Linked DNA regions of Arabidopsis thaliana. The protein of the gene in region 2 purifies or fractionates together with the protein of the main gene of each other region. This does not show direct contact. Each region holds a gene or a part of one and is shown on either strand. Other genes may lie near its edges. The genes, in order: PRL1 and DCL3.

The links.
Region 1: the proteins of DCL3 (region 2) and PRL1 purify together in Arabidopsis thaliana (affinity purification with western blotting, with the first as the bait; one study listed by BioGRID). This does not show direct contact.

The regions. Positions count from the first base shown.
Region 1 is NC_003075.7:9,018,516-9,033,888, forward strand, and holds PRL1 (pleiotropic regulatory locus 1), read left to right. Parts: upstream 1-5,150; 5' UTR 5,151-5,259; coding exon 5,260-5,393; intron 5,394-5,487; coding exon 5,488-5,512; intron 5,513-5,750; coding exon 5,751-5,856; intron 5,857-5,970; coding exon 5,971-6,064; intron 6,065-6,168; coding exon 6,169-6,234; intron 6,235-6,427; coding exon 6,428-6,512; intron 6,513-6,629; coding exon 6,630-6,722; intron 6,723-6,936; coding exon 6,937-7,000; intron 7,001-7,112; coding exon 7,113-7,198; intron 7,199-7,268; coding exon 7,269-7,370; intron 7,371-7,472; coding exon 7,473-7,556; intron 7,557-7,658; coding exon 7,659-7,719; intron 7,720-7,848; coding exon 7,849-7,915; intron 7,916-8,036; coding exon 8,037-8,114; intron 8,115-8,233; coding exon 8,234-8,298; intron 8,299-8,412; coding exon 8,413-8,490; intron 8,491-8,755; coding exon 8,756-8,928; 3' UTR 8,929-9,293; downstream 9,294-15,373. Other genes in the region: AT4G15890 (binding protein), read left to right, coding at 1-395, 707-1,244, 1,409-1,590, 1,839-2,330, 2,492-2,583, 2,662-2,749, 2,839-2,953, 3,077-3,209 and 2 more; DI21 (drought-induced 21), read left to right, coding at 10,142-10,224, 10,523-10,754; SWEET17 (Nodulin MtN3 family protein), read right to left, coding at 12,227-12,385, 12,938-13,057, 13,813-13,977, 14,336-14,546, 14,657-14,693, 14,795-14,828. UniProt on the Arabidopsis thaliana protein: Pleiotropic regulator of glucose, stress and hormone responses. Also regulates cytochrome P450 CYP90A1/CPD.
Region 2 is NC_003074.8:15,748,193-15,764,572, reverse strand, and holds DCL3 (dicer-like 3), read right to left. Parts: upstream 11,026-16,380; coding exon 10,892-11,025; intron 10,805-10,891; coding exon 10,630-10,804; intron 10,497-10,629; coding exon 10,383-10,496; intron 9,987-10,382; coding exon 9,852-9,986; intron 9,756-9,851; coding exon 9,682-9,755; exon of another isoform or gene 9,571-9,681; coding exon 9,507-9,570; intron 9,432-9,506; coding exon 9,300-9,431; intron 9,204-9,299; coding exon 9,051-9,203; intron 8,921-9,050; coding exon 8,791-8,920; intron 8,706-8,790; coding exon 8,600-8,705; intron 8,521-8,599; coding exon 8,328-8,520; intron 8,240-8,327; coding exon 8,079-8,239; intron 7,997-8,078; coding exon 7,671-7,996; intron 7,472-7,670; coding exon 7,200-7,471; intron 7,115-7,199; coding exon 6,594-7,114; intron 6,514-6,593; coding exon 6,419-6,513; intron 6,312-6,418; coding exon 6,082-6,311; intron 5,994-6,081; coding exon 5,784-5,993; intron 5,702-5,783; coding exon 5,234-5,701; intron 5,144-5,233; coding exon 4,871-5,143; and 9 more. Other genes in the region: AT3G43940 (uncharacterized protein), read left to right, coding at 1-35, 180-308; AT3G43930 (BRCT domain-containing DNA repair protein), read left to right, coding at 1,310-1,517, 1,662-1,753, 1,856-1,958, 2,032-2,237, 2,317-2,448, 2,533-2,640, 2,705-2,794, 2,877-3,082 and 2 more; AT3G43910 (MutS2), read right to left, coding at 11,884-12,036, 12,124-12,243, 12,336-12,382, 12,468-12,573, 13,025-13,186. UniProt on the Arabidopsis thaliana protein: Ribonuclease (RNase) III involved in RNA-mediated post-transcriptional gene silencing (PTGS).

The DNA.
Region 1 (15,373 bases), on a different chromosome or scaffold from region 2:
AGAATGGGTTGAAAGATTCGTGGGGCTTGGGTTGTATTGATGCTTTAGTTCAGCGGTGTTCAGACACGAGCGCTTTGATTAGAGCTCGAGCTTTGTCCAACTTGGCTCAAGTTGTGGAGTTCTTGTCTGGTGATGAAAGGAGTAGGTCGATCCTGAAACAAGCCCTTGGGTTTAACGGTGAGACTTCAGAGGGAAAAGGTGCAGTAACTGACCTTTTGAAGAAAAGATGTGTGGATGAGAAGGCGGCTGTAAGGAGAGCAGCTCTTCTTCTGGTGACAAAATTGACATCGCTTATGGGTGGTTGCTTTGATGGTAGTATCCTAAAGACAATGGGTACATCTTGTTCTGATCCGCTAATAAGTATAAGAAAGGCTGCAGTTTCAGCTATTTCCGAGGTATGTTTTCTGTAACTCAGTTTCTTCTTTCTCATTTACCCGATGGTAATATGTGTAGAGTTAGTATAATTTATACGGGTTTGCTTTGACCTTAATTAGCTCAAAGTTAAAGAGACCAAATGTGCAAGCCAAAAATGTTTTTAGATGAATGAATGGGAAATTACATAGCAACTGCTTCCGTCGGTTTCATACTAAAATCAGATAATCTTTATACTTTAACTTATCCCTGAATATAGGTCAGGCACTCAGGCTAATGACTTGTTATCATATTTCTCTGATGATGCAAGTTCATTGTCTTCTGTTCACTGTAGGCATTCAGAATATGTACAGATGAAATTGTGACCACTGAATGGTTACATTCTGTTCCTCGGATGATCATGGACAATGAAACTAGCATCCAAGAAGAATGCGAGAATGTCTTTCATGAATTAGTTCTGGAGAGAATATTACGAGCTGGAAATGTGCTTTCTCCAGACAGTGCTTCTCTCCCTAACAACCGGAACACTACTTCAAAAGATCTAGACAGAGACATTGAAGCCTTGTTTCCAGAAGGAGTTTTGGTTCTCTTAAGGGAGCTTTGCAACAGTGAGGTTTCTCCTTGGGTTACGAAAATATGTGGAAGTTTGGGAAAGAAGAAGCGACTAAAACCAAGAGTTGCCCTTGCGCTTCAGTGTATCATAAAGGAATCTGAATCACTGTGGTTGAGTCGTTCAATGCCAATAAATAGATGGACAGCTCCTGCTGGTGCTTGGTTCCTTCTATCAGAGGTTTCAGTTTATCTTTCAAAGTCTGTCGAATGGGAATTTCTTCACCATCATTGGCAGTTGCTTGACAAGAATGACGTACAAGGTTTGTCAGAATTCTGTTTATCCATCTATAAACATCTCAATCAACTGATTCATGTCTTTACTTGTTCCTACTGGTAGTGTGATTTTCTGGTTTTAGTCCTAACTTCTACCCTAATTAAACCAATTTTCATGAATGTATGTATGATAATTTGGCTATTTCTGAAGGGCTAGATGAACAAGGTGATGAACAGGGGGTCGAGTGTAATTCTTCTACATGGGCTGGCGATCGAGTTTGTCTTTTGCAAACAATCTCCAATGTTTCCCTTCAGCTGCCAGCAGAGCCTGCTGCAGATCTGGCTGACAATTTGCTGAAGAAAATCGAAAATTTTAACCTGCATTCTGCTGAGGTAATGATAAATATTTAACCTGATATCTTCTATATAAAATCAAGCTCATGTTTTGAAAGTACAGAAAGTTACTGGTTTTTGTCTAGAAGGATGTATTCTTTCAGATTTTGATATTTTTTTGGTACTTTTCTGTAACCTGAAACTTGAACGCTTGAATTGAGCAGATCATTATTCACTGGTTTGAAAATGGTTGCTTCGTATATGGTTCATCTATCTTCATGAACTTAGTCAATGCCATTGAATGACAGGTCGATGCACATGTCAAAGCATTAAAAACTTTGTGCAAAAAGAAGGCAAGCACCTCTGAGGAGGCCGATATGCTTGTCAAGAAGTGGGTAGAACAAGTTTCATTGAAAGCATCTAAGGTCACTGAGAAGTACATCGAGGGGGTTTCCAGTCATAATCATTCTTTTGTTACACCAGCAACACTCGGAAGTAGAAGAAGCAAGAGACTGGATACTGTGTCCAAGAAATTATCAAAAGCAGTCACAGCAGTATACACCATTGGATCTTGTGTCATTATATATCCTTCAGCTGACACGACCAAAATTGTTCCGTTCTTACATACTGTCATCACTTCAGGAAATTCAGACTCAAAGCTGAAAAACAAACTGCCGCAAGCTAATGTTTGCTTGAAGCAAAAAGCTCCTCTTCTCTATAGTCAGTCTTGGTTAACCATGGCGAAGATGTGTTTGGCTGACGGGAAGCTTGCTAAAAGATATCTCCCTCTCTTTGCACAGGTCTGTCTGCATTTGCTGATTCATGTGTCCATTTTATCATTTTGATTATTTCTGGAAAGGAAACTTTTCGTTCCAGGAACTTGATTCATTGGATGGTAGTCTCCTTTGTCTCTTCAATTTTTTTTAACCTATGTGAACCCGTTGATGCCTTACTCTTGCAGGAACTTGAAAAGAGTGATTGTGCAGCCTTGCGTAACAATCTTGTAGTAGCGATGACAGACTTTTGTGTTCACTATACAGCCATGATTGAGTGGTATTTCATTCACAGAACATTAATTTTTCAAATGTTAAACATGATTGCGACATTCTAATGGTTTGTTTACCTGGATAGTTACATACCGAAGATTACTAAACGTCTTCGGGATCCTTGTGAAGTTGTTAGAAGGCAAACCTTCATACTTCTCTCAAGGTTACTACAGGTATTGCTATTCTCCACAGATTCTTTATCTTCTGTTTTTAAAAAGTATTGAATTGACAATGAATAAGCAGGCTTGTTTTCTTGATTCAGAGAGACTACGTGAAATGGAGAGGAGTTCTCTTCCTTCGATTCCTTCTATCGCTAGTGGATGAATCTGAAAAGATACGTCGACTTGCAGACTTTTTATTTGGAAGCATCCTTAAAGGTATGAGAACTCACGTGAGCAACCATGAAATGCATTCTTTCATTCCCATGTTATTGAAAATTCTTACAGAGAGACATGATCTCTAGGATTTTTGATTATTGTTACGCCCCATGTTGCTTATAGTAAAGGCGCCACTTCTAGCTTACAACAGTTTCGTGGAAGCTATTTATGTCTTAAACGACTGCCATGCCCACACTGGCCATAGTAATCCAGATTCTAAACAATCAAGAACAAAGGATCAAGTTTTTTCTATCAGGTACTTGTGTTAAAGTTATATAGTCTATGCTCATACGCAAACTTGACATTTTGGTGTGAATGATCTTAGTGATTATCTTTGTTTCATTTGTTCTGTAGAGGGAATGATGAAAGGGCTAGGTCTAAAAGAATGCAGATCTACGTTACTTTGCTTAAACAAATGGCCCCAGAACACCTTTTGGCCACATTCGCCAAGTTATGTGCAGAGATCCTCGCAGCTGCTTCTGATGGAATGCTCAACATAGAAGATGTCACTGGTCAATCAGTTCTACAGGTAACTTCCAAAATGGCTACAGAGCCTTTTTTCTTCTTGTGATTGCCGATTTTTAACTCGTTTTGTCTCGGTGTAGGATGCGTTTCAGATCTTGGCGTGCAAAGAGATCCGTTTATCAGTTTCCAGAGGAGCATCGTCGGAGACAGCAGATATAGAGGAAGAAGGTGGAGATGCAGCAACTGCAAAAGGAAGGGCCATAACGCACGCTGTTAGAAAAGGTTTGATTCAGAACACGATTCCAATCTTCATTGAGCTCAAGAGGCTATTGGAGAGCAAGAACAGTCCTCTCACAGGTTCGCTCATGGACTGCCTCCGTGTCCTCCTCAAAGACTACAAGAACGAGATCGAAGAAATGCTTGTCGCTGACAAACAGCTTCAGAAAGAGCTTGTTTACGATATGCAGAAGCACGAGGCTGCAAAGGCAAGGTCCATGGCTAACCAAGGGGTTGCCTGCGGGACAAGTCATAGAAACGGTGAACCTGAAGCATCAGCAGCAAGCGAGGAGAATGTTAGAGATTCGGGATTGGAATCAAGAGTGGTTTCTGCGGCTGCTGATGTGGTGGCGGCTAAGGCAGCTAGGTCGGTGTTGAGAGAAGTGAACGGTGGAGCTGCAACGCCGCCTCTGAGCGCAATGAGTGTTCCGAAGCTAAGGTCGAGCCGTGGAGTTAGCCAGAGTGGTCGACCATCAGCTGATGTGTTGGAGTCTCTGAGAAGAAGACCAACTTTCATGTCTGATGATGAGAGTTAGAACTTAAAAATGAGACTGTAGAAAATAGCTTTTGCTGTAAATGCATGACTTCGATTTTTCTTTTTGGGAGATTAGATCGAGACTCTATTAAAGTCTAAATCGTATTTATAAACCGCATAAGACACTAAAACCTGGTGTGTGTGTGTGTGTGCGCGCATTTGTTTGCTTGCTCATGTTTGTCCTTGTGTGATAAATCCATCCCTGCCCTCAAATTGATTTATGTGTTGTATGTGTTGATTTTAGTGATAACATCTCAAAGTGATTAAATATTTTCAAAAATGCTATTTGATGTCTATAACGGCTTTAAAACTTTTGCAAGTTCATTAGAGCTATCTCTAGCACATATATGGCGCTTAGAGATGTTACGAATATGTAAGACTGATTACATATCTCTTTGGCTTAATAAATATAAGTATTTGTGTTGAACTCTTTATCTTCTTCTTGAAGATGTCTTATGGGAAACATGTTAAATGGATAGTAAATGAGAGATTCGAAAATATAGTGTGAGCTTCCTTCTTTGGTTTATGCATTCTCCATGTGGGGGGCAAGGTTTTTGAAGATTTATACTTTTGTGGCAAATCTCTTGTTTGAATACTCCATGGGAGTCTCTCATCAAAACTATGCTGCAAAATATTTGAAAATTTATAAATCTATTGTCTTTGAGAAAGTGTTACAAAATTTATGACCTCAATAATATTGCATGAAAACTTTCATACATCATTTGGTATATGTATGTTTAAGAAAAGGTAAAACCGTAATTATAAAGAGAAAGAAAATACAATATCTTAATACATATCAATCTAATTACTCATTAACCATATTAAGAAAATATGTGTCTTTATTTTTTCCTTTTAACATAAAGCTTAAAAAGAAGATTTGTAGCCAGAAAAATTAATTGTGTTCATTTCCCTTTTAAAAGAATTTTTCGGCGCAACAAAATCGTGAAATTGATATAAATAAACTCGAGATTATTAATATAACCCTTTTTCACTTCACTTCTCTTTCTCTCTAAACCCTAAAAGAAGAACGATGCCGGCTCCGACGACGGAGATCGAACCCATCGAAGCACAGTCACTGAAAAAGCTCAGTCTCAAATCCCTCAAACGATCACTTGAACTCTTCTCTCCCGTCCATGGCCAATTCCCTCCTCCTGACCCGGAAGCGTTAGTCTTCTTCGATCCCCAATTTTCGATTCGAATCTTCATTTTCTTCACTAAGTTTTTATGATTTCTTCGTTTTTTTTTTTTTTTTTTGCAGCAAGCAGATTCGTCTCAGCCATAAGGTAAAACATTGAGTCTCTCTTACCAGTCTTTAGAAATTTATTTCAGTTATTCGCTTTTAATGTCTATTGATTGGATTTTGGTTTAAAGCTTCGAACTTTAGGTTTATTCAGGTTTTTCCATAATTGTTCTAAATCTTCAGGTTTTGTTACCAATAATAGTAAAGATGGTTGATTTACTTAGACTCTCTCTCTCTCTCTGTTGTGTATGTTACTGATTTTAGAAGTTTTCTTTGTACAGATGAAAGTTGCGTTTGGAGGTGTAGAACCTGTTGTGAGTCAACCTCCACGTCAACCTGACCGCATCAATGAGCAGCCAGGACCTTCAAATGCTCTTTCCCTCGCAGGTGTTTTTCATATCACTATGTCTTGGTGAAAGATAAAAACTTGTTTCTTGTTTGCTATTTGCATTCTTATTTGTATTGGAAGGGATAAAATCATCTGCTTGATGAATTCTGCAGCTCCTGAAGGGTCTAAGAGTACGCAAAAGGGTGCGACAGAGAGTGCTATTGTTGTTGGTCCAACTTTACTGCGTCCAATACTGCCTAAAGGCTTGTAAGTGTTATCTTTTGTTGTTGGTTTCGTTGATCTGAATGCTAATTGATGGTTCTACTTTATCGTGAGGATGCTCATAAAAGAATTCGGTTCTCGAATTGAAGGAACTATACAGGTTCCTCAGGGAAGAGCACCACCATTATACCTGCAAATGTATCTTCATATCAAAGGTTTTTTTCTCGTCCTCATACTTGCTTTTCTTTATCTGGATTGCAATACATTAATGGCAGCTCTAGGTAGTGTAGGTAGTTCATGGGCATGCAAATTAGACTTCCCCCAATCTGAATTTTTTTGGTTTGTCCTTATAATGTAGCTTCTAATTCTGATTCCTTTTTTGTTGTTGCGTTCCTTTGCGTGTTACAGAAATCTGTCAACTGCTGCATTAATGGAGAGAATACCAAGTAGATGGCCCCGGCCAGAGTGGCATGCACCATGGAAGAATTACAGGGTAAAATCCGTGGCTCAGCATTGTTGCTGCATCATACGGATTTTGGTCTTTTGTTGGTCTCCAAAAAACTCTGGTTTGAGGAGTTACTTAACTTACGATTAATTATTCTTTTCACAGGTCATTCAGGGGCACTTGGGTTGGGTCAGATCTGTTGCGTTTGACCCGAGTAATGAATGGTTTTGTACTGGTTCAGCTGATCGTACCATCAAGGTAGCAGAGATGATTGCTTATTCAATATGAATTGTATTTTTTCGAATATGTTTTCTTGTTATACTTATAAGTCATGATACAAGACTTCCCTTCTATGGCTAGTTACTGGAGCTTAGTTTAGTGCATTGCCAAAAATCCACTACTTTGGCGATTGTAGAAGCAGTTCCGACTTTGGTATGTTTACTGAATTTATTACTTGTGTTTTATTCACTAGATATGGGATGTAGCAACTGGAGTTCTGAAGCTAACACTTACTGGGCATATCGAGCAAGTACGAGGTTAGCCTTTCAAATCTGTTCTCGTTTATTAATATTTGTTAGACTTTTCAATAAATAACACTCTCGGGACAAGTTACAAGTTTGGGCTCTTTTGTTTTGAATTTTGTTACAGGCCTCGCTGTAAGCAATCGACATACCTATATGTTCTCTGCTGGTGATGACAAGCAAGTCAAATGCTGGGACCTTGAGCAGAATAAGGTTACAACTCTATTCTCTTCATTATCTGGATTTCTCATATCTAATGCTCTTGGAATTTTTGATTTGATAGGTTATCCGATCTTATCATGGTCACTTGAGTGGTGTCTATTGCTTAGCTCTGCACCCAACTTTGGATGTTTTATTAACTGGGGGGCGAGACTCTGTCTGCAGGGTAAGGCAAAAATATTTATATCCATATTTATATATCTTCTCGTTTGAATTCTTGCACTTTGCTGGATTTGTAGTTTAAAAGTCCATGTTTACTTATTTGCAGGTGTGGGATATTCGTACCAAGATGCAAATTTTTGCACTCTCAGGACATGACAACACCGTTTGTTCTGTATTTACTCGTCCAACAGTAAGTCTCTTTTAATATGGACTTGTTGTTATGGTTTTTGGATTTCTTGCTGAATCTTTTTATAATAGTAACTGGAACTCACTTTGATCTGTGTTGTTGCAGGACCCACAAGTTGTCACCGGATCCCATGACACGACCATTAAATTTTGGGACCTTCGATATGGTATATCTTATCATTGTAACCATTGTTTGGACTTAAAATCCATATTATTTAAATCCTTCCTTATTTGATTATCAGTTGCTGCAAATATATGGTTTCATTTGAATAATGCTGTATTATTATTATATGCAGGAAAAACAATGTCAACGCTAACACATCATAAGAAATCTGTCCGAGCAATGACCCTCCATCCTAAAGAGTATGTGTAGTCGTACTGAATCTACTTTTGTGTATCGTGCTGAATCTACTTTATCTTTCCAATAGCGAAGTCTTTGCACCTAAACTTTTCCTTTATGTTATCTCTTTAATTTTCTTTTTAGGAATGCCTTTGCTTCTGCATCAGCTGACAACACCAAGAAATTTAGCCTTCCAAAGGGAGAGTTCTGCCACAACATGCTGTAAGTCTCTGCTAGATAATTATATACTTTGCATCTCCAGTGCTTTTGAAATAGGAGCTGTCATTATTAATTATGTAATTGATGTGTTTGAACAATGTTTATCTTTTTCCATGGAAAAGTTCGCAACAGAAAACCATAATTAATGCAATGGCTGTAAACGAGGATGGTGTGATGGTCACTGGAGGTATATAATCATTTCTGATTCCTTTCGTCCCTGTGATTGTTTTCCTTTGATAGTAAAATGGGTGAGACATAATCATTTTCAACTGAAACTGATTCTATATATGTGTGAATGAAGGTGATAATGGAAGTATATGGTTCTGGGACTGGAAGAGTGGTCACAGTTTCCAACAGTCAGAAACTATCGTACAGCCTGGTACGTACATTTATAGCTTTCATGGTCTTTTGCTCCTGATCTCCTTGTTATGGTAAGATGTAGAAGTCTCGGTATGTTCATACAACGTAGTCAAGTTTGAACCCTGGTAAAGACTCAAATGTTAGAAGTGTATGATACTATGATTGAGCTCTAGGGAAACCAAGAAAGTTGACGTAGGTTTATGGTTTATGTAAATGCCTATAGCGTCGTCTTACAAGCAAATAGTAAATGGGTCTTTAATTGGATGTGGTTGGGCATATGGCAGGTTCCCTGGAGAGTGAAGCGGGTATATATGCAGCGTGTTATGATAATACAGGTTCAAGATTGGTAACATGCGAGGCTGATAAGACGATAAAGATGTGGAAAGAAGATGAGAATGCAACTCCAGAAACTCATCCTATCAATTTCAAACCACCAAAGGAGATTAGGCGCTTCTAAATAACTTGTATCTGTAACTCAAAGCTCTTGTTGGAATCTCACTAATCTCTTCATGATTCTGTTTCCTAGATCAACTTTTGAGAGGGGACCTTTGTTTTGTGGTGGGGAGGAAACAAAAGGCCATGTACTTTATGTATTTTAAGGGCATTTGTAATTTTTTCTATCAACAATAATAGATCATGTATTGTTGTTTATGTTGAGAGAACTTTGTTACTTTTATCTCCCGTCTCTTGATTCTCTTCGTTAGTACTTATCGAAGATCTATCATGATTTCTGTGCAACCAAATCTGTGAAGTTTTGTAGGACGAATCTAAGTATTTGATCAACAACTTATATCTCTAGTCTCCACCACTGAAAGTTTTCAGCCTAAATTTTGGCTCGGGTTGTTTGGTTTATGAAGCTTTTATAGTGTAACTACACAGCTGATACGAAGAAACCAAGTGTAAAAACAAAACAGCTGATACGAAGAAACCAAGTGTAAAAACAAAAGAAAATATTGAAATAGTAAACAATTTGAATGGAAAAGATCCACTAAAAAGAGACGGTGATGGTGAGCTCGTTTGCGCGAAGACACCTGTGTGTTGGTTTTGCAATACGTAAGTGACACGTTCTAGTTATCATCATTCAGATCTCACCGACCTCTTCTGATCTTTTGTACCAAAGTATACTTGTTTATTCGCAGATCTTTTGTAGACTTTTCACCTTTTTAACTGCCAGTATCGTTTAGTGGAAGACGTACATTGGTTTTTACGTCTTCTATTTCTTTCAATTCAATCATCAAACTATCAAAGCATCAAACTATCATAGCTTTCTCACTAGTCACTTGTGGGTTTCTCGAAAACAGGCAAAAACATAAATAAAACCCCCCAAAAAAATGAATTAGCCATTTACTATTTTCACATTTCAGTTTTTAACCTTACTTTGGCAGTAAGTATGAGCAGTGGGTCCACAGTAAGGCCCATGAGCCCAAATTTCTCTGTCGTGGTCTATATAAGTGCGCCTAACCCAAACCCTAAAGTCTCTCGAAAAACCATCACCGGGGAATCTGACGGCGGCTTAGTACCGGCGGCTACTGCAAAAAGGATTGTGTTCTTCTTAGGCTTGATACTTGCCTTGGGAAGAATATAACAATCATTTTGCGGTAGCTAAAACGCTAAGCTCTATCGTCATATCTTTATCATTGATACTTATTTGATATCTAAATATCATAAAAATGGCCGCTCGTTCACTCTCCGGTGCCGTTAAATCTCTTTGCTCCGCCGCATCCGGAAGTCTGTCTTGTTCCATTGTCTTAAGGTACTTATGTTTGAACTGATCCCATTTTTTCAGGTTACAATATATAAACATTTACACACTCTTTCATTTGCTTAGATCGTATAAAGAATTTATAATTCTAATTGAATAATAGTTGATGGTTTGAATTTGAGTGAAGGCTAAAGATTGATCTATCATTAATAAACGTAATTAATTTACTTAGATCTATTAAAGATAATTATGCATGATATTATCACGTTATTTTCTACGTTTTCGTTATGTTATTTAGTCATTTGCTGTTTATATAATCTTACCTTCAAAATAAATTATTGGAATGTAGGAGGAGTTACGTTGCTACATCGCAGAATGTAACAGCAGCAGGATTGAGTAAGGGAGGTTCCACCAGAGTTATGGTGGGGAAGATGGAACAGAGAGGTTTAGATCAAGAGGCAGAGTCTGCTTGGGGACCAGATCCAGTTACTGGATACTACAGACCTTCCAATCGTGCGGCTGAGATTGATCCAGCTGAGCTCAGAGAGTTGCTTTTGAAAAACAAAGCAAAGTCTTTCTGAGAATTTTGATTGGTTGGTTGACTTGGTTCCAGTGGAAGGTTGTCGTAGGCGACTATTCTGATTATGTGTGTTTATGTTTGTCTTGTATCAACTATTAAGTAAAAATAAAGATCACATTAACTAGTTAAAAATATAATATCTGTTTGGATCGACTAACACAACATCTTTAGTATAACAGTGTCTTAAATGTTTTAAGAGATAAATGGGGATATACGAAAAATAGAAAACGTTGCTAATTATGACTAAATTATGATACTTAACAACGTCAACAACAACAAAACAAGATGATTTCACTATGGCATTATATTTTGTGACCACAATCTTATACTTGTTGTTGTTGTCAACATCAAATACAACAATAGAAAATGATGGTGCTTTTTCATACCCCATATAAAATTTTGTTGATTCTTCATGCCCATAGTTTTGTTGAGGCTGCTAATGGCCTAATAGTCTTAGAAAATGCAAACGGACTATTGAGGGTTGAGAATATGCTGTAATTCGGCCCACTTCTGGGCTAGTCGAGTGAATACGTAAGGATCAATCATCAATACTTGGTTGCCACAATAGATTATGAATCAGTGAAACTGTGAAGGGTTCAAGATCTTAGTATATATCATAACTAAATATTATCACTTTGTCCACTAAACTTAAAATGATAACATCGATTCTATGCTATAATGAGATACTGAGATCAACGTTTTGGCTGCTTTTCCTCCTTTGGTCTTAGCTAGTGGTGCTATTTTAAAACTTTTCAGTACTTTTTCGTTTTAGGTTTACTGATGTGTTTGTTATCGGAAGAGTTTTGTCTCTGTTCAATTTTTTCTTAGAAAATATTTTTTTTTGAACATGTATTATTTCTCAACATTTGTCAGTCTAAACGTGTTGTCACTCACATTTCTTCCCCCAACAAATATCAAACATGTTGTCACTCTCGTTTTCATATATGAAATTGAGCATCAACAAGTATTGAGGAGGACATATCCCTGAGCTAGTCATTATGACCATGTTGTTGTGTCTGAAATGAATATCACGATCCGAACGCTAAAGGGAAATGTCAAAGTCCGAGAGACGAGTAAAACTGAAATATGTTTGCTCCACAAATACCGAACCGTACGTACGTCTGTATGACTGTATACGCTCACTTGCAATCGAACGTACACAACGACACAAGACGTTTTTTTACGAATAATATCTCACAAACTCAACCGTCAAGAATCTCAAAACTTATCCAAACAAAAAAGTTACTAAGCCTCAAAACATAGTAAACACTCCATTCTCTTATCTTCGCTTAACAAAAGATGCATTACAATAACAATCCCTAAAATATGTAACATCTTCAAATTAATCTAATTTTGTCCAAAAAAATAACGTACACAAAATCGCACACCACAATAATGTAACAAAAAATATAAAGATTTGTATTTATAAGACCCAAATTAATTAACAAGCTCTTGACATAAAAAAAAAGGGATTTAAGAGAGGAGAGGTTCAACACGTGATGTGAGGCCTTCCTCTTCATCTTGAGCAATCTCACTTAAACCGTTGCTTAAACCAACCGGTTTGGCATTTCTGTAAATTCCATAAAGTATGAGTTGCATTGTCCCAAACACAAACCCCACTCCATTTGGCACCTATCCAATTTCACCACATAACTTTAATTAACTAAATTAATCAATCAATCACAAATACATTATTTCTCAACAACATAATTATAATCAACGCCTATCCGAAATCACAATAAAACGCATTTGAAAATGTCCCCACAAAATAGTAGTTGTTGCATTTTTGAACCAGACACGTTCTTTAAAAAATTAATTGTTTGAAAAAAATGGCCAAAAAAAAAAACATTTTGGTTAATGTTGGAGACTTGGAGTCCACAATTTTTAAAAAATCATTGAGCATTAAATCGATTTTTTCTTTTCCAGAAGATTTTTTATAAACTGTGACATGACCTGACACTAATGGGGTCTAATTGGGGATGTAAAGAAAACAACAAAAATATTTTGGGGGTATTGCTGGAATATCGAAAAAGATATGGGGTCGATGAAATAGCTTTGTTAAGTTTTCCTTTTTGTCTTTTGAATGTGTCTAAAGCCAAAACACTAACGGGACACAGAGACGGCATGAGTATAAGGGTGTAATCATAAATTAAGAAGTGAATAAAACAGTGAAACTATACTTACGAGTAAGAAAACGTCGTGTTGGAGTAAAGCATAGACAGCCCAAATCGCGCCGTTTAAGAAGAGGAAAAACGACAACCAAAACGGCATGTATTTCACGCTCTTTGTTGTCACTACTGTTTTCTGCATATTGTATTAAGAAATTAGACACTATGATCAGTCTATATATTATAACAGATATTGTGATAAACTCAAAACGTATTCTATTTATTTTGTTGCGAATGATTGAAAATGAAATGTTACGTATATATGTCTTTATCCAAGATATGGACCTACCATACCAAGTCGTGGTACAGTATAGTAGCTGGAAAATAAATAAACAATTGGGACGTTGATTTTCATATTTTAGATGTGAAAAAAATCTAATGACGTACAAGTTCATATAATTGATATGTGACTGCGATTTTTTTGAAGACGTGCTTAAAAATGCCATGTGGTTGTTGGTTTATATATGATGATTGCATGTATATATGAACGAAAATAACCTTTATAAAACTAAATGAACAACTACCACCAAAAATAACCACTGACCTTATTTCTGAAAACAGAAAAAAAAATATACTATAAAAACGATATTCGAATTCCACTAAGAAAAAGACAAAAATTGCTGCTTAAAATATAAAGTTAATTAAATTAAAATCAATTTGTTTGTCTACAAAAATTGAATTTTCAGACCAGGTGGGTCGTTTTTTTTTATTATAGACGGCTATAAGCTTTTTGTTTGGAGTATAAAAAAAAATCATTTCTAGAAAGGACCAAGTGGATATGAACAATGACATCTTTTATTGCAAAACGTGTGTGATATGATACTACCAAAACGCTATAAAATAATGTTTTTGAGTTTTGACAGATGAGGTAAAATTAAGAATGAAACTTACCATTGCTGAAAGTGGAGAACCATACATTATAATGTTTAGACCAGCAGATATGAAACCTATTGATTGAGAACGCATCTTCTCATCTTCAAACGCACTTCTCGTTGCCACAATCGCCGCGATTGGAAAAAACACGTTCAACATCGCTTCCACATCCACTGTTTTCAGCTGTAAGAACAAAAAAAAAGATCACATTGTTGTTAACATATATACAAAGCTCAATTATTTGAACCAACAACTACTTTGTAAAATGTAGAAATACATTGGAAACTCTACTTTACAAGTCATCATCGTATTTCTTATAACAAGTGGATCAAATATTTTAATCGACTTGACTTTAGGGAGAACAAAAAAGAATCAATTAAAAGTGAGACATAGAAATCTGATAATCAGATCCAAATCTGAATAAAAATGAATCAAATAAAATGCAGATTTTGTAACCAGCTATCATATAGGAAACACTAAAGATCATGCATAATAGCATATATATAAATCAGAATATCATAAAATAGAATAAATTAAAAACCTTGAGATGTCGAGGGGCATAAAAGAGAAAAAGTGAAACGTAGATGGTTTCAACAAGAGCACCAAAGCCATTAACGGTGGAGACAAGATATTCTCCGGGAGTGACGATGCCGTAATATGTCCATAGCGATGATCCTAACAACGTGCAAATGTACGGCAAGCTTTTGTACTCCTCCGTTGATCTCCGCTTCACTATTTTCCAAAACGTCTCCCTGATGATTTTTGTTTGGTATATTAATATGGACCGATCGATTAATAATCTAAGTAAGAAAGACTATAGATTATACAATTTTGTTACTTCTTGCAAGGTTAGAGAGCTTACACTGGTGAGAGGAAAACTAGTACGGAGATTACATTTCCTGCGTCAAACACATATATATGTTATGTATTGGATCGTGCACTTGTGTTTATACATGTACAGATTATGAGCACAACGTACACGTTAGAGAAGAAGTATTACCTATGACTCCGATATAGAAACTTGCCTCTGCCATTATTGGAGAAAGAGTTTCTGAGAGAGAGAGAAAGAGAAAGAGACAGAGAGACAAAGAGAGAAAGGAAAGAGGAGGAGGCTTCTTAATTGGGGGAAACGTGACTTGAAGTCTTAATAATGTTTTTATTTTATTTGTTCACACTATAATGATTCAAGTATGCAAGTGTGTGTCTATTGGTGTGAATGGATAGTATCGGATGAATGAATGACAAGAAAACAAAATTAATGATTTGGTTAAAGTATAATAGAGGAATGAAGTGAAATAGATAATGGACTTTTCTTATCTTTCTAAACTGGAGATTGTTTTTCATGTTATGAAAAAAGTTTACTGGAATATAGATTTACCTCACTCTGTAGCAAATTGTACCCTTTTAGTGGAATATAAAAATATAATTTTCTACTTCTTTTTACCCATCATTTTTATTTATATAAACTAGTATAAGCTACATACTAGTTGATTTTGGTCTATAATATCCAGATTTGAGACTAATTTTGGCAATCAATATGAGAAAATAAATTTCATGCAATTAGTTGCACCATATGAAT
Region 2 (16,380 bases):
GGTATATGCTCAACAGCGACGGAAGAACTATGGGGGTGTGTACTACGGTTTGGTCATTGGTTGGGAGACAGGATTTCGTCGAATAGAGTTGGAGTTGAATTCAGATTTGGTGGTTGGACTTCTACGAACAAGGTTGAGTGATGCTCATCCGCTGTCTTTCTTGATACATCTTTGCCAAGGCTTTATCACAAGAAATTGGTAAGTCTGGGTTATTCACGTATATCGAGAAGCTAACCCGTCAGTCAGAAGGTTTTATAGTTAACCTTCTGACTGACGGGTTAGCAAACTATGCCTTTTTTTATAGTTAGGTTTTCATTCTTTTGATTCTTGTACTGATGTGATCCATTCAATAATGTTAGAGGATTCTAACTGGACGAGCTTTCCACAAAATATTTGGTTGTAATTAATTTTTTACTTAATTAATAAATTGGGGGATATTTGTTCCCCCTTTCCTATTTAAAAAAAGAAACTTGAGCTTTACACATGTAAATATATCCGCGGATGTATAGACGGGTACGTGTTTTAAACATGTATAAATATTTGTCTACATCAGAAAATCAAATAAAATTGGTCTTTTAATTATGTAGTTAATATATATATATATATATATAACACTTTATTTTGTATATATATGATTGCAATAAAAATTGGTCTTTTAATTATGTGGTTAAGATATATATAACACTATCCTGTATACATATGATTGCATTATGATTTGATGTATTTCGTTTTCCAATTAAACTATGTTTTTTTTCCAGCAAACTGAAACTATTATTGTTACTTTGACTAGTTTTTTTTTTCTTAAGAAGTTTTTTCCATATTTAACCATTTCTATTATTAGATTTTGATACATATTAATGTATTTTTTTACATTAAAATTTTGTTTCGTGATTTTTTTCTATATTGGATTAAATTTTGTATCGTGTTAATTAAAATATTATGTCATATAATTTTATTATATAAAATATAGTTTTTAAAGTTAGTAACTCGCGTGATCATATGATACATGTCAAATTATCGTTCATATGTTGATATATGTCAAAAAAAAAAAAAATCTTTTTTCTTAAATAAAATAATGGAGAACTAATTGCGTTAATACTAAAATATCAACGAAGTCGTTTGATTGTAATGACGAAGGATTTACTTTCCTAAAATAAACGATCATGCTCACCTCTACTATACATATTCTTCAGATACTCATAATCTTCTTTTCTTTCAACAATCTTTTATTAGTTTATTATGTTTTCATAAGTTACGCTTGTAATCTTCGTCCTCTTCCTTGAACTCCAAGATTCAAACATATTTTCTTATGGAAGGTGTTAGAAGAGCAGAGGTGATTGATACAAAGAGGTGTTCGAAGCTGCGCGTGGATTTCACGCCCTCACTACGTGGCAGTCGTATATCGGAGCCTTTTTCTCCGGCCACCACCACCACCACCACCTCCCGATTCCATCCACCGGTTCGTTCCGATGGACCTTTCTCTGGTCTAATCATCTGCGTAACTGGTCTCTCTAAAGGTACCAACAAAACATTTATAAATTAATACTCGATAAATTAATACCTCGATTATTCAACTTTTTGTTAATAGACAAAATCAATCAGCGTATTTGTAAAGAACTCTGAGCTAGTTTTATGAATTGAGTATCAATTGTTGTATGTAGAGGCAAGGAAACAGGTCAAGGAAGCTACAGAGAGACTTGGTGGTGAATACAGTGCACTTTTGCATTCTCTATGTACACATTTGGTTGTTCAGATATCCTTATGTTACTATAGAATTTAGAGTAATCTTTTGAAATTATAAACATGAACATTTATGTAGCTTTGTGTTAGTTTCTTAACACAAAAAGGAGTATACAATTATGATGGACGGAAGTTTGAGCATGCATTGAAACATGGAAGAAGAGAGACTTTGTATATCGTTACGCTTGGGTGGTTTGTGGACAGTGTCTGTAGAAATGGTGTGTATGTCTTTAACCGAGTTTGCACATTCTTTGTTGATTATTTCTCATACTAGATGTGATTTTGTTGTAGTTAAGCTGAGTGAGTCTTTCTACGCGGTCAAAAATCCCGAAGAGACTAAGGTGAATGAAGATGGATTAAAGTCGGTTTACGCGGTAGAAAAACTACATAGAGGAGGAGGAGTTCAAGGAATAGAGGTCACAGGAAGCAAGGACTTGGCCTTGTCAGGCTATTCGGTTTTTATCGATGCTGATATTTCAGAGGAAGTGAGACGCCAGGTTAGTCCTAAACACCTTATGAGTTTTAAACGTATGTAGCAACGCCCGTGGATCAACGGCTACATTCCAATTCTTGTAGGTTTCACAGGTGGCTGTTGAAGGAGGTGCCAAGCTTATGACTCAATGGTTCATTGGATGTAATGCTAGTCATGTTGTATGTGAAGGTGGTTCTGTTTTAAGATATCTTGGTCACTCTAGCAATCTTGTTACAGTAAGCTAATGAGAACTCATTTTCCATCTTGTTTGCGGTACATTATCCTTTGGTTGCTTTATGTAAAATTGTCGCCTGTTTCAGCCACTATGGCTTCAGAAGACGTTGGAAGAGAAACCAACGCAAAATCTAGTTCAAATGTCAGATGATTTGGCACGAGATCTTAGGACAATGATTGAGAATCTTGGGAAGGTATCTTTTGTCTGTAGATAAGTATTCATGAAGTCTCTAGTCCTTTAATCTTGTGCTCCTACAGGAATCTCCTACAGATAGGACGAGACCACACAAAGAAAGGCAGAAGATTGTGGAATCCGCCAAAAAGACTGTCACAAATCGCCACGCAAAGGCATTTCATCTTTTTCTCTATTTCATCTTCGAAAACCGAGCAATCGCTAAACCGAACTATATTTTCTTTGTTCATAAAACAGATGGGGAAGACTCTGATCCAGCCGTTAAATCTGAGCAGCCTTCTAGATTCTATCTCTTGGACAATATCTGAACCAACTTCAACAGCTAGTGTTATCATAGATAGTTTCAGCAACAACGACGATATCGAAAGAAAATCTTTATCTGCCTTCTTTGATGCTAAATCTAATGATTCATTCACTCACTCCATGAGACTGCTCACAGAAAGGTTCCTATGTTCTACTTCATCTATGTAACTTGAGATCCAAGCTACTCTTTTAAGTTTATAAAGCTCATGTTGTTTATTGTTGTTATGGCATGACAGTGAGAGAATGGAGTTGGTATACAAAAACCATTTTATAACATTACTACTTCCAATCGATTGGTATGGTGAAATGGGACCTTCTTCCAGGTCGTATTTCAGTGAAACCGGCTTTACATGTCAGCAGATTCTCCAAAACATCTATGCATTCTATCAGGTAGCAATGTCCTCATATGTGCCAGTATCTCGTTGACGAAACCATTTTCAAAGTAGTTTTGTGTGTTGTATGTACTGTCGCAGGAAAACATGTCCGAGGAAGAACTCAAAGCAGCTATTCACACCAACTCGAGGCACAGTGAAAAGCTCCGAGCAGCGGACTCGGTGATGAAAGGCGGGAAGACTGTATTCAAACGTATTCAGTTTCTCGGATCCGAGAAAGGTTTCGAGATGCTAAAACGTGTTAGTAGCTTCAACTGTAGTAATGTCTATGAGCTTATCATTAAGGCATAACAATTAACATATAAATTAGAGATTCAGATACAAAACTATTATTTGGGAGTTCTCGCATTTCCAAGATCTGCTCGAGATGACTAAATGTGAATCATATATAGTACAGTCTAAATTAGTCTACTTTTGTATTATGACGATCTTGCGGCGCTCGAGCTCATAAAGCAATTCCACGACTGCAGAGTCGAAGGAACTCTTCTTGTCAGGCCTTGCTTCTCCAGCATACATCACAGCCTCACGATTGGGTATCCTTAGGGTTATGGTCGATGTGAAACTGCTGAAGCTAGTCCGCTTCTCACCGCCATCTATGAATTCAAACGGAGTTCTGTGCAGTTATCAGTCTCAGATTGGTCAGGACTCGGGATACATGAGAGCAGAGAAAAAAGGAACCAAAATGAGAAGTCACCTGGATTTCTCTTCCGAGGTATCGAAAGTAGGCATTGGCCACAGATGCTTCTTGCAAAACTCATGTAGAGTTCCACGAGGCCCGCCTTTCTTCATGTTTATAGGTCCAATAACTGAAACACATAAAACCATGAAATGCATAACCCTTGATACAAAAAAAAAAAAAAACTGAAGAAGAAAAGAAGAATCTCTCTAGGTAAATAACAGTGCTTACATGGAATCACTATACTCTGGATTTCAGTAGTCTCTGAAGTCAGAGTTTCTCTGTCGCTATGATTGCAAGCAAGATTGACATCCATGGAACTTTGATTATCCCCGAGCGAGGTTTTACGTGAAATGTTTCTCTTCTGAAGAACCAAAGAAAGTTTGAGCACACACACCAACACACACGCAAGTGGAAACATCAGAATATATATACCTCAAGTTGTGTAAGCAGATGTGAAGCTGCTTTTCCCAAGGCCAGTTTATTTGTCTGTTCAGATCCATCTCCAGTTAAAAGAACATCATCCAGCTGCAACTGGATCGTGGCTTGTGCTTTGACACCATCATTTGAACATTTCACTCGAAAGAAATACCCAAGAGAGTCGCATAGCTCATTGAGCTCCCGGTATGGAGGAAGCTGAAGTTTATCTGGAGTTACAAGTGGAGAAAGCAACGGCTCAAAGACTCTCCACACTTGATCGAGATCTAACCTCGTATCGATCAGCAATGCTCCAGCGATACTCTCCACAACATCTCCAAGAGCCTAAACCAAAATAGACAAGTATGTCAACCTATTTGCTCTCTTTATAATCTGAAATCTCAGGCAGGGACTTTAAATGGTCATGCAAGTATATTTTTTACCTTAGGGCCCTGTATTGAAGGGATTGATCTACCAGTCTCATCTGGCTTTTGAAAGGACATCAGATAGTCGTTTATTTGAGTCTCGAGAACCGTAGCACAGCGTTGAAGGTGGGTATGCAGGTTATTTTTCACTGCAACTTGCGCAAAATTTTCATTGTTTACACATGCAGAACGAAGATCGGTCATCTCTCCAGGCCCAGTTTGTTCGTAGGTGTTAAAAAGATGACGGGTTATTAGAAAATCCAGTACAGAATCGCCAAGAAACTCTAATCTCTGTTTGAGGAAAAAAATGATAGCATGAGGTTGGAAACCTGGGAATAAGTCAGCCAAATAATGCAGGGGTTGAAAATGATGAAGTCATACCTCGTATGAATAGGATTCACGAAGAGAGGAGTGTGTGATAGCCTCTTTTAAAAGAAACTTTGCAGAGAATTCATGTTGGATCTTTCTCTCCAACTCTATGAGCTCATCTTCTTTAGGAATGTAACACCGTAGAGAAACTCTATTGATGGCTTCAACGACTAGGTTTGGGTCAAAATCGACGTCAATACCGAGCCATTTCATCATATGGAGAGAAGCAGACAATCCACCGCTTACATAATAGGCACCAATCAGGGCCTCAGCGCAATCTGATACAGATTTTGAAACTACCCATCTATGACCCATGTCGCAAGACTTGCCTATTTTGATAGTCATGTTTTCTGTGAAGAATTTTGGGTCCAATGGTACTTCTCTAGTATCAATCCCACACTTGCAAGGAACAGGAAAAAGAGAAAATTGACCAGGTGCAGTCCAGCGACGCGGTTCAAAAGCGCCATTTCTTATGTATCCCTATCAAACCAATCCCCATGGAAAGATATTTCTTTGGTGTTCTGACTGATGTAAGACATTACTTGCAAATGTTAGAAGATACCTGTAGTTTGCGACTGGTTGTCAAGCGGTGAAGATTTGAGTTAGATATAATCGATTGTCTCTGCCGTGATAGTTGCCCCTCATCTTTGTCAGGATACTTAAGGAATAGATGACAGCTCGCAACATACTTCAAGACTGAATCCCCGAGCAGTTCCAACCGCTCCATTGAAAATGATTCGGGGCATGTAAGTGTTGTAACTGCTTCAAGAATCTGATTTATTGAACCAAGACAAGAGTTTAATGACAATCAAGATATCTAGTTTCATCTCTAAATGACAGATAGTTTTCAAAAACCATACCGATGTACTTGATATACTGAAGTTATCTATGCTACAATCAATCTCTTCCCTAAGCTGGCTGGCCAACATTAGAGACTCTAGGCGGTGCATCACTGAAGGCAGCAAGTAGATTGATTTTAGCACAGCACGCGGTACATCAATTCTAGCCAAAAGCTCTGGAGGCAAATGCGCATGGATATTCGGTTTTCTTTTCCTAACATTGCCAGCTTTTGGTTCTGTCTTCACAACCACTGTCCATTTACATTGGAAACAACATCTTAGAGCTCACACACTACAATATCATGAGAACATACACAATGATTCCATATGTTGGAGAAATTCTCAAGAATCAACTTACTCTCTTCATTGAAGTCGACTAAAAGGTTGTGCGCATGGTGACTCTGCTTCAACTTCATCAACGGCTGGTTCGGGTGCGCTAAAACAATCCCATACCTGATTAAAAGGGAATAACATTAACTAGAGAGTTATGATAAGTAGATTGAAAGAACAGCCAAAGCTAGAATATCACTTACTTTTTGTTAAAATATTCTGCATAAGTAGCATAGCCTGATGAGGCATCCACCTCAAAGGGGCTCATAGCAGAAGAATCGCTTACGGCTTCAACTATAGAGTATATCCGTCCAGTATGAATTGCAATGACCACAAGTTCTTCGAGACTATTTTTATCAGACGAAGCATTGGCAAAATGAATCAGATTCGTTTCTTCCATTTTATCGTCTAGTAAGACTTCCTGACCGGATGAGGTATTGCACTGATTCCCATCACTATCCCGAAGATCAAGAAGAGAATTTTTCTTCAAGAACTCAACTATTGAGGCACAGGAGTTGATAGCTGACCAATCAATTGTCGCACTCGAAGCTAGATCATTTGTTTCAACTGGTAGCAGTAGAAACATAAAGGCAGGGTGCCAAAGAGAACTAGTGTCAGTTTGAAGCAAAAATTCTCTCTTTGTTCCCTGTGACTTAGATCCAACAAACAACTTTCCAAACATGCCATTAAAGAAAAACTGCTGAAAATATTTTGCTTTGACCAGCTGCATCCAAAACACAAAGAAGAAGACATCAAGTTCAAACCATGAAACAAGAAACTGTTTATAACTAGGGATCAGAGTTATGTACCTCCTCTTGACTCAAACGTATCTGGCCACAAGGTGAGACAGAAGCCTTGACAAGCTTCCTGACCAAGTAAAGGTCCATCTCAACTTTACCAACATCCTCGGCGAGAGTTGACTCAAGCAAAAGAGAGAAACTCGAGTATACTTCGCCAGAAATATTACAACAGAAGTCAAACTTATAAGCCTGAAAGGTGGCGCCATCAATATTTTCTCCCCAGGTTCCTGACAATGCGTTTGCACAGGTTGTTCCGTGCAACTCCTTACGTTTTTTTGAACCTGTTCAGCGAAAAGAAAAAGAAATGTATACATAAATAAACAAATTAAGACAAGCTCCATGACCTTAGACATAGACATATGATATGCAACTGCTGATGTGTGCGTGTATGTGTGTGATACAACAGCGGCTGATAGAGGAACTAAAGACTAAAATCAGCGACACCAGCTAATTGACGAATTAATAAATTAGAAAACATACCTGCAGCCGATGAAGATGATTTACTTTTAGAAGAGGCAACCTTCTCTTTGCCGTTGGATTGTAAGAGATTGTTATCCAAGCGTAACTTTTTACACGGTGGTAACTGCTCATTTCTGCTAGGAGGATCACTCATAGTTTGTGTGGAAGCTGCTTCCTCAGATACAGTTATGTTAGAATCTGGGATAACCATGGATCCAATCTCCTTCACACCGTGTCCATTTTTCACTGGAGGTGGACACGATTTCAAGTTTGGAGCTTCTGGATCTTGAATTAGGACTTCTCTTCGCATAAGGTCATGCAGATGGTCTCTTTGCTTCGGGTTCCCTCTACAATAATTAGTATTCAGAAATAAGCTACAAAAACTGGAATTTGGTAAACATTTTGTGTTAAATAAATATTGCTTCCTACCTTTCAAGAAACATGATAGACTTAGAATTACTCTGTTTGGCATGTTTTTGAGACTGCGAGTAACTACACATTGTTTTGGGCAGGTCAAAACAAACCATGCATGAGCAATCTGGAACCTGAAATCCCTCTTCAACCACATCTGTGATGAATAAAAGATTCACCTACATGCATTAAAAAGCTTTCAGAGAAGACAAAATAAAAACATTTCTCAATCTATAAAACATCTGACTGTGATGAAGAACAGGTAACCTTGCCATGTTGAAATAAATCAGGGATTTCAATTTGCATTTTCTGTGCCGATACATTGGTGGAGGGGTTGTTTTCGGTTAAATACAAGACATTAAGGTAAGCCAAAGAGGCTTCTTTCTTAACGAATCTTTCGATCACTTTCGCAGTTATAATTCTCTCAACTAAAATAAGGCACTGCTTTTGCTTGTCACCTCTGCAAGCAAATTGAAATTGTCAGAACAGATGGAGATCTTGGTGCAATTTTGGGAGTTGGATAAACAATTTAAATTTACCTAAAGGAATCCAATAGATGGAAGAGTTCTTTTAGCTTTGGAGATACATGCCCAGAAATTACTGCTGACAGATGGTTTTGCTGCAAATCTACCAGACTCTTATCATCTGTTAAATAACACAAATGATAAACAGTGTAAAAATTAGTGACTAGAAGAGGACTCAATGCAATATAGAGCTTTGAATACATTACCTTGCGGCAAATACACCCCAATGGTGGATAAAATATCCTCAAGAAATTCCTTGCACACCATTGAGCATTCTTTATAAGTTTCACTTTCCTCTTTCGTATCTGAGATTTTCTCCAAGCAGACTTCAGCCGCCTATCGCGAAAGCAAGATGAAAAAAAAAAGAAAAATAATCAGCACAACAGGTATGCTAGCGGGAGAAAAAAGTAACAATGAGTAAGCAAATGAAGAACTGGTAATAAAAACTAAACTGGTAGAAAAATACCAAGTGTGCGCAAATCAGGCCAAGATTATCAAGGCAATGCAAAATCTCTCTGTAGTCGATAGACAATCTCTTTTGATATGTCTCAAACTTATTATCCATATTCAGAAAACTGTCTTTTCCCAACTCTTGAAGCCTTCTAAGAGAAGCATCAAACTGTACGAAAAAAAACAGAATATTTTTCAAGCACTCTGAAACATAATAGGAAAGAGTCATGTTCTGGATCATATTCAGTGAGCATATATTATATACCTTGAGGTGTGAAGTTTCTAACTTTTCTTTCAATTCCAAACTACAGGATGGTGATGGGTTATACAATATTGGACCTTCTTTAACCGTTGTAGCAAACTTTTCCACTCCTTCACGCTCTTCAGGATTAAAAATCTGAATTCAAAGTAAGATTGCATAGCATTAATTTGTAAACTATATCTGTTTCCTTGTTACACAAAAACAAAGTACCTTTGAGTCCATGAGTCTCTCAAGTTCTGATACTTGAGCTGCATAGTTAGAGGGAGAGGAAACACTTGTAGTATGAGTTTATGTTCCTTACATGAAGTTCAAACATTAAAAAGTAGTTACAGGAAGCAGGATCTTTGGTTTGGCATACAGAGGAAATAAGAAACTTTTAAATAGCATGCCTTTTCTAATGACGGCTGACGCAGTCAATCCAAATATCTTCGGTTTGCTAGTGGATTCGTGATAGAATTCCTTCATGAAAACAAGAAAGAATCTAGTTCGTTGACAAGTTATGGAAACTCTATTATGAAAAAACTAATAGAGCTTATCATTACTGAGAAAACACACCTTCATTAACTTCGCATAGGGATGATTGCCAGTGGTATGGTGGCATTCATCTATTATTAGAAGACATACCATCTCTAGTTTCAGGAATGCACTTCTAAGGACATCCAATAATATTTGAGGAGTCATAACTAAAACCTGAACCATACAAAACATAATTTCATTGCAGATAATAGACTCACGTGGATTCGGCAACAAAAGAGAAGTATGTGATTCTGTTAGTGAGATCAATGCAGTCACAAATCTACGTCAAGGGCTCAAGCAAACAAGTTCAAACAAAATAATTAAGAAATAATCAGCATTGGAAGAAGAACCAACCCCAAAAGTAACAAATTGGAATGGGCTTTTAACTAACTCAGAGAACATTCATGACTCAAAATACAACAATGAGCTGGTCAAAGTGGATTACAACATTCTGCCAAAGTTTCACTAACCACACAAAGAAATTTTGATATAAAATCACCAAAACTACAAGCAAGTCACTTTGTTGGCGTATAACTAGCCAAATATACACAAAAAGAAACAGAAACTTACATCGTGCTTGCTAAATTCCTCATCCCAGCGCTGAGATGTCCATTTATCAACTCCTTTAGCTCCAAAGTACTCTTCAACTTTCAAATTCACAAGTGCTCTGATCTCACAGCATTGCTAAAACCACACACACCAATAAAACATTCAAAAATAAGCTCCCAAGGCGACTCATTAGCCAACATCATCAACTCAAAATGATTAAAATCCAAATGAAACAGTTTTTCTTTTTACAATCAAACAAGAGACTTGCCTGTTTAACAAGATTCACAGTTGGGGCCAAGAAAATTATCAATCTTTTGTCTGTATCAGAAGAACCCATAGCTTTGATAAGCCTCTTAGTGATCTCTGACTTATCAATCCCTGTCCCCAAAACAGCAATTATGTTCCTGTTCTTAGCAACCTCGTACACTTTCAATTCATAACTACTGCCAAAAAAAAAGTAAACTTTAGTGAAAAAGACTAAAAACCCATAAGACCCAAAATCAAGTACAAAGAGAGGAAGATGATGATACCCATTAGAGTCAGTCATCATAGGAGAAGAGACAGAATCAAGATTTTGATCTCCATCGATTTCAGAGAATTTTCTCTTAAGCGAATTGCTTCCCCCACCTTCCTCCATTTTCTCCGGCTCCAACGACGAATGCATGACGAACGGATAAAAAGGAACACACTTAACGGGAAGAGTAGAGGAATTTCGAATTTCGACTTTGAGATTAAAACAAAAAGGTGATTCTTTTTCTCTTTTTCTGCACTGACCACTGGGCAAGTGTATAAATGAGGTCAGAACATGAGTTTCGAATGTTGAATTTTTAACTAGAAAAAAAAACTGCAACAAAATTAGTCAAACTATATTAATTTTTGGGTTACCTTTTTTCGATACTTTATTTTTGATTTTACTCTTTCTTCAAATATTTAGGCCTCTAAGGCCCAATGGACCTGACAAGATGCATAGATTCATTGGATATACTGCTGATTGATTACTTTTCTTCAATGTGCAAGCTGTTTCATGTTGTAAGTAACTTCGCTTTTTTTATTTATCCGGGTAATCTGGTAGAAATGTACTAAAATACTTTAGCGTGGACTTCTTCCCAAATAAACACCACAATGTATGTTCCGAGTTTGGAATGATTTTCGACTAAAAGAAAGCTAAAAATGTAGAAGAGGGGCTGACTTATGTTAATATCATCTAATTCTAATGTCTCTTTCAACCCGAGACAATTTACCTTGTTTTGTCAGAGATTATTTATAATTTGTTAGGTCATGAGGATTTCGGTCGGGTTAAATCATAACCAAACTACATTAACAACTCTCACCTTGAAAATTAGATAAATATAGAAATCGAAAAATGACCAAATTTTGAGAGATTTTGAATACGGAAAAAGAATAAACAAAATATTTTTTTCTAATTAGTGAAGAATTTTCTGAAAGCCAAAGGAGCAGAGAAAGAGATGCAATATATAAGTGAAATCACCAAAACATTACTCATTTTTACATGTTAGATATGTCACTTAATTTGAGAAAATGAGTAATATCTTGTATCACTTGTAGCATGACCATATGCAGCAATGAGTAGTGCATTAGCTCGAGCATTGTCGTCAATTTTCGTTGTCAATTTAAGTGATGGAAACATTTCCAGTGCGAGTTTCCTGCCACCATCCTACGAAGAGAAAAGCAAATATTTTTATTGCAATTGATGTGAGGATAGACATGAAATCATAAAAGTTTGAGAGTTAAGATTCATCACCAAACTCCAAATACTAAGATTAAAATGTTTGTCCCATGTAGAAGGAGTAACGTAAATAACAGAAATGCTAGATGTGAGAAGTGTCCATAATCCACATCCAAGTCCATCATTGTAGGCAGTCTAAGATATAAAGACACAATCATGTTTCAGTGTATCGAATCCATATCATAAACGTACTGAAGTAAAAAAAAAAAGAGATGAGTAATTTTTACAATAGCGTTTTCAGGATGAATATATTTCGCTACAAATGCCTTGGTTCCTACAACAGTGAAGAGACCAAATTGATTTTAAACATAACGCAAAGAACACGCCACAACAAAAACACAGTGAAATATCGTTCTTACCGGATGGAACATCTAGACTACGAATCAGTTCTAGCATTGATTTTTCGTTGAAACTACGTGTTCGGATGTTTTGAACTACAACTTCCAACTGAGGAGTATCATATACCTTCACACAGATTTAACACACAAAACTTAATCCATATCAAAATGACTAAAGTGAATTTTCCACTGTATTCACCAAGAGAACAGTTTACAAAGCATGTCTTATTTAACTTAAGGGATAGATAACAAAACTCACTAACTCAATAGTTACAAACAGGTTAATTAGTTGTAAATCTTCTATCATCCAATATTAATTTCATTCATATAATTCCTATAGATAACAATCGAACCTTGTATATATAAATTATGATAAACCAAGTCCATCTGCCTGAGATTACCCAATGAAATATCGAACCTTGTATATATAATTTATGACTAACCAAGTGCATGTCCTGAGATTACCCAATGGAATATCTTAATTTACTTCACAAACCCTAGAATCTTGTAGTTTCACAGTTCTAGGGTTTCAGAAGAAAAACAATATTCTTTTCGAAAATTAATTAGTAGCGATTCACCTGAGCAAAACAAGATCCCTTGTCGTCGAATTTCAGCACAGCCAAAGCTCCGGATAAGTTAGGGTCAATCCCAATGATCCAATGTGGCTTAAAATTCTCTTGAATCATCTCGTCGTAGTTTGGTGAAGAAGAAGAGAGAGGATTCAACGATTTTTGCTTCATTAAAGCCTTATCTTTGTCCTTCTCATGTAAGGAGAAATATCGAGAACGGAAAGATTTGAGCTTAGAGGAGAAAGTCGTTGCCCTTAGTTATACCTACAAGAATCAGGGAAGTAAGGAACGTAAGTACAAAACTAATTAACCTACTCACGTACGTTCATACAAAGTTTGTAACAATGGACCACAAACGTAGAACTAAACAAACCATTATGTAATCATGTAACCAACCCATGTCCATAACTTTCTTGTACAATAAGTCATAGATTCATTGGAGCCTAAAAGTGTAGGTTATATAAGAGATAAACAATAAAAACTTACGTCTCCCAAAGATCTATATATTTACTTAAACGAAAGATTAATTAGAACTAACTTCTTTTTCCTCTTCCACTGCTTTGTTTATTCAACATAAATTTGCGCAGCTAAATCGTTTTAGATACGACGAAATCGACTATTGGAAGTAAGAAAATTTGGGATATGAGAGAATATGCTCTGCAATCTGGTGTGATCTACCAAATATTATCTGAAGCAACGAAACGAGTCACTATTTAATGTTCAAATTAGTCGTCTATTACGTTTTAGGTTTTTTTTTTTTGTTTTGTTTAATGCAAAAATAAATCCAAAAAAGTTTAAATATTTATTTAACTAAACAAGTACATAATTGTACATCCCAGAGAGATATTACGTTTTACCTTTCCAACATGACTCAGCTGAACGACATTATCAACATAAAATAAAATTTCATTAACAATCCAACTTAAAAATAATTAGATAAATATAAAAAAACGGAGAATGACCAACTCAGTTGGGAGACAAAATTCAACACATAAGAAGAAGCTACGCTAGCTAGTGAAGAATCTACTACCACCATGAATCATATGTTTGATTAGAAAATGATTTTTAGTGGAGAAAAATCAATCACATAGATCAGACACATGGTTAGAGTCCCTATATACAAGAATTGGTTGGCCTTTTAACCAAACCTAAGATTCATAATCTAATTTTTACTTAGAGAGGGAGTGATGAAAGAGTTTATTATAGACACTAGAACTTGTTGCAATTAATGTACATTAGCTAGAGATTATCCAAATTTAGAATAGAATCGACAGAAAAGATAACAAAGTTTTCCACACCTCCACAGGAGTATCATATACCTTCATAGATTTAACACACAAAACTAAATCCATATATATCAAAATGCTAAAGTGAATTTTCCTCTCTATTCACCAAGAAAACAGTGTACAAAGCATGTCTTATTTAACTTAAGGTTAGGAATAGATAACAAAACGCACTAACTTAATAGTTAGAAACAGTTTGATCTATAATATTAATTGGAAATTACTCAAAAATAAATAACTATATAAAGGGTAAAATATTACATAAAATGTTCTCAAACTAAGGCAAACTAAGAGATTTCGTCAAGGGGTAAAATGGGCAATTTAACACATTCTGACACACGGATTCTGGATATATGGGTCGGATCTATATCCAGTCAAATTCGGATAACACGCGATCCGGCCGGTTGGAATCTACACCTACATTTTTGCAACCATTTTAGCAAATAAATCATGTACTTGACACTTATTTACAATGGCATGCCAGTGGCATTAAATATTTTATTTTGCTAATTAAATACGAAATATTCTATTCAATAATAGTTGCCAAAAATCTCTCAATATATCTAATTGGTATTAATTATTCAGATTTGAAAATTTAAAAATTTTATATTGCGCTCAACAAACGTTTCCAAAAATCTCTTCAAAACTTTCTACACGGGTTTATTCACATATCTATAATCTGAGATTTTTTTCATCAACTAATTACTCCCAACATACATTTTCCGAGATTTCTACTCTACGATATCTGTTGAATTATATATCTTTTAAATTGATTTGAATTGTATATATCTTTTAAATTAAAATATTACTTAAACAAAAATAATAAGATAATGTTTAATTTCACTGCACGGGGTTAGATGATAGGACGAGTTTGGGTCGATAGTAATACGAGACGGTATACCATGGGTGAAATTCATTAGATGGTAGGACGGGTTTGGTCAATAGTAAATTGAGACGGTATATCACGGGTGAAATTCTAGATATAACAATCAAAATACAATTATATTATTTTAAACACTATACAAAAGAAACAATATTAACAAAAAATATAATTTCAATTTTAATTATTGTTATAGTTTAGATTTTAACATAATGAACTGTATGTTATTGTTCCCATATTTTTAAACAAAATCTAATAGAGTAATTTTACACTAAAAAGTTATAGATATAAGAATTGTATAGTTAGAAAATAAAAAACATTAAATCATATATATTTTTAATCTACTAAACAAATTAAATGTTTTATTTTTAAAAAAAATTATATAATCCCACGGTAGACCGCGGATAAAAATCTAATATGGCAATATTGTTATAAACATGTGGATCATTCGATTGGATGGCTGGTTGGGATTTTGGGAATCTTTGCCATACTCCTGCAATTTAAACAAAACAAAACTAATGTCAAACCAAAAATGACAGTTATCATTTAAAGATATTTATATAACAAACGTATCCCATTAGTTTCGAAATGTAAATAAGAACAAAAAATTGTTTTTGTAATATTAAATGTTTTGAATAGTAAAGGTAATAAAAACTAGTTAGAAAAGTATCCAATTCTGATGGTTGTTTTCAATACATTTACCAAAAGTTACAATTAAAATATATTATACTCCCTTTCAAATTGAGTATATACCTTAAACCTATCCCATTAATTTCGAATTGTAAATAAGGATAAAAAATTGTTTTTGTCATGTTAAATGTTTCGAATAGTAAAGGTAACAAAAATTAGTTAGAAAGATATCCAAATATATTCTACTCCTTTCAAATTGAGTATATACCTTAAAACTTTATCCAAAACTTGGATTCACAAATATATTATTTAGATATGAAAAAGTTTAACCTTAAAAAATCAGCTAGCCGACCTTCTTTTCCTATAAATATTCAAGTCGACTATCCGTTTTCTTCCACTCGCTACTCTTTAAAACTTTTCGTAATTATTCAAGTTAAAGTTCAAGTTAACTATAACTGGAAATCTTGGTCAAAGTTATTATTTGGCATATGTTTGATGTAAAAAATATTTGATTACAAGAGGTAACAACTAATGTTGTTCTCAGGGGTGGCGTTGGGGTAGTGCAAGAGGAG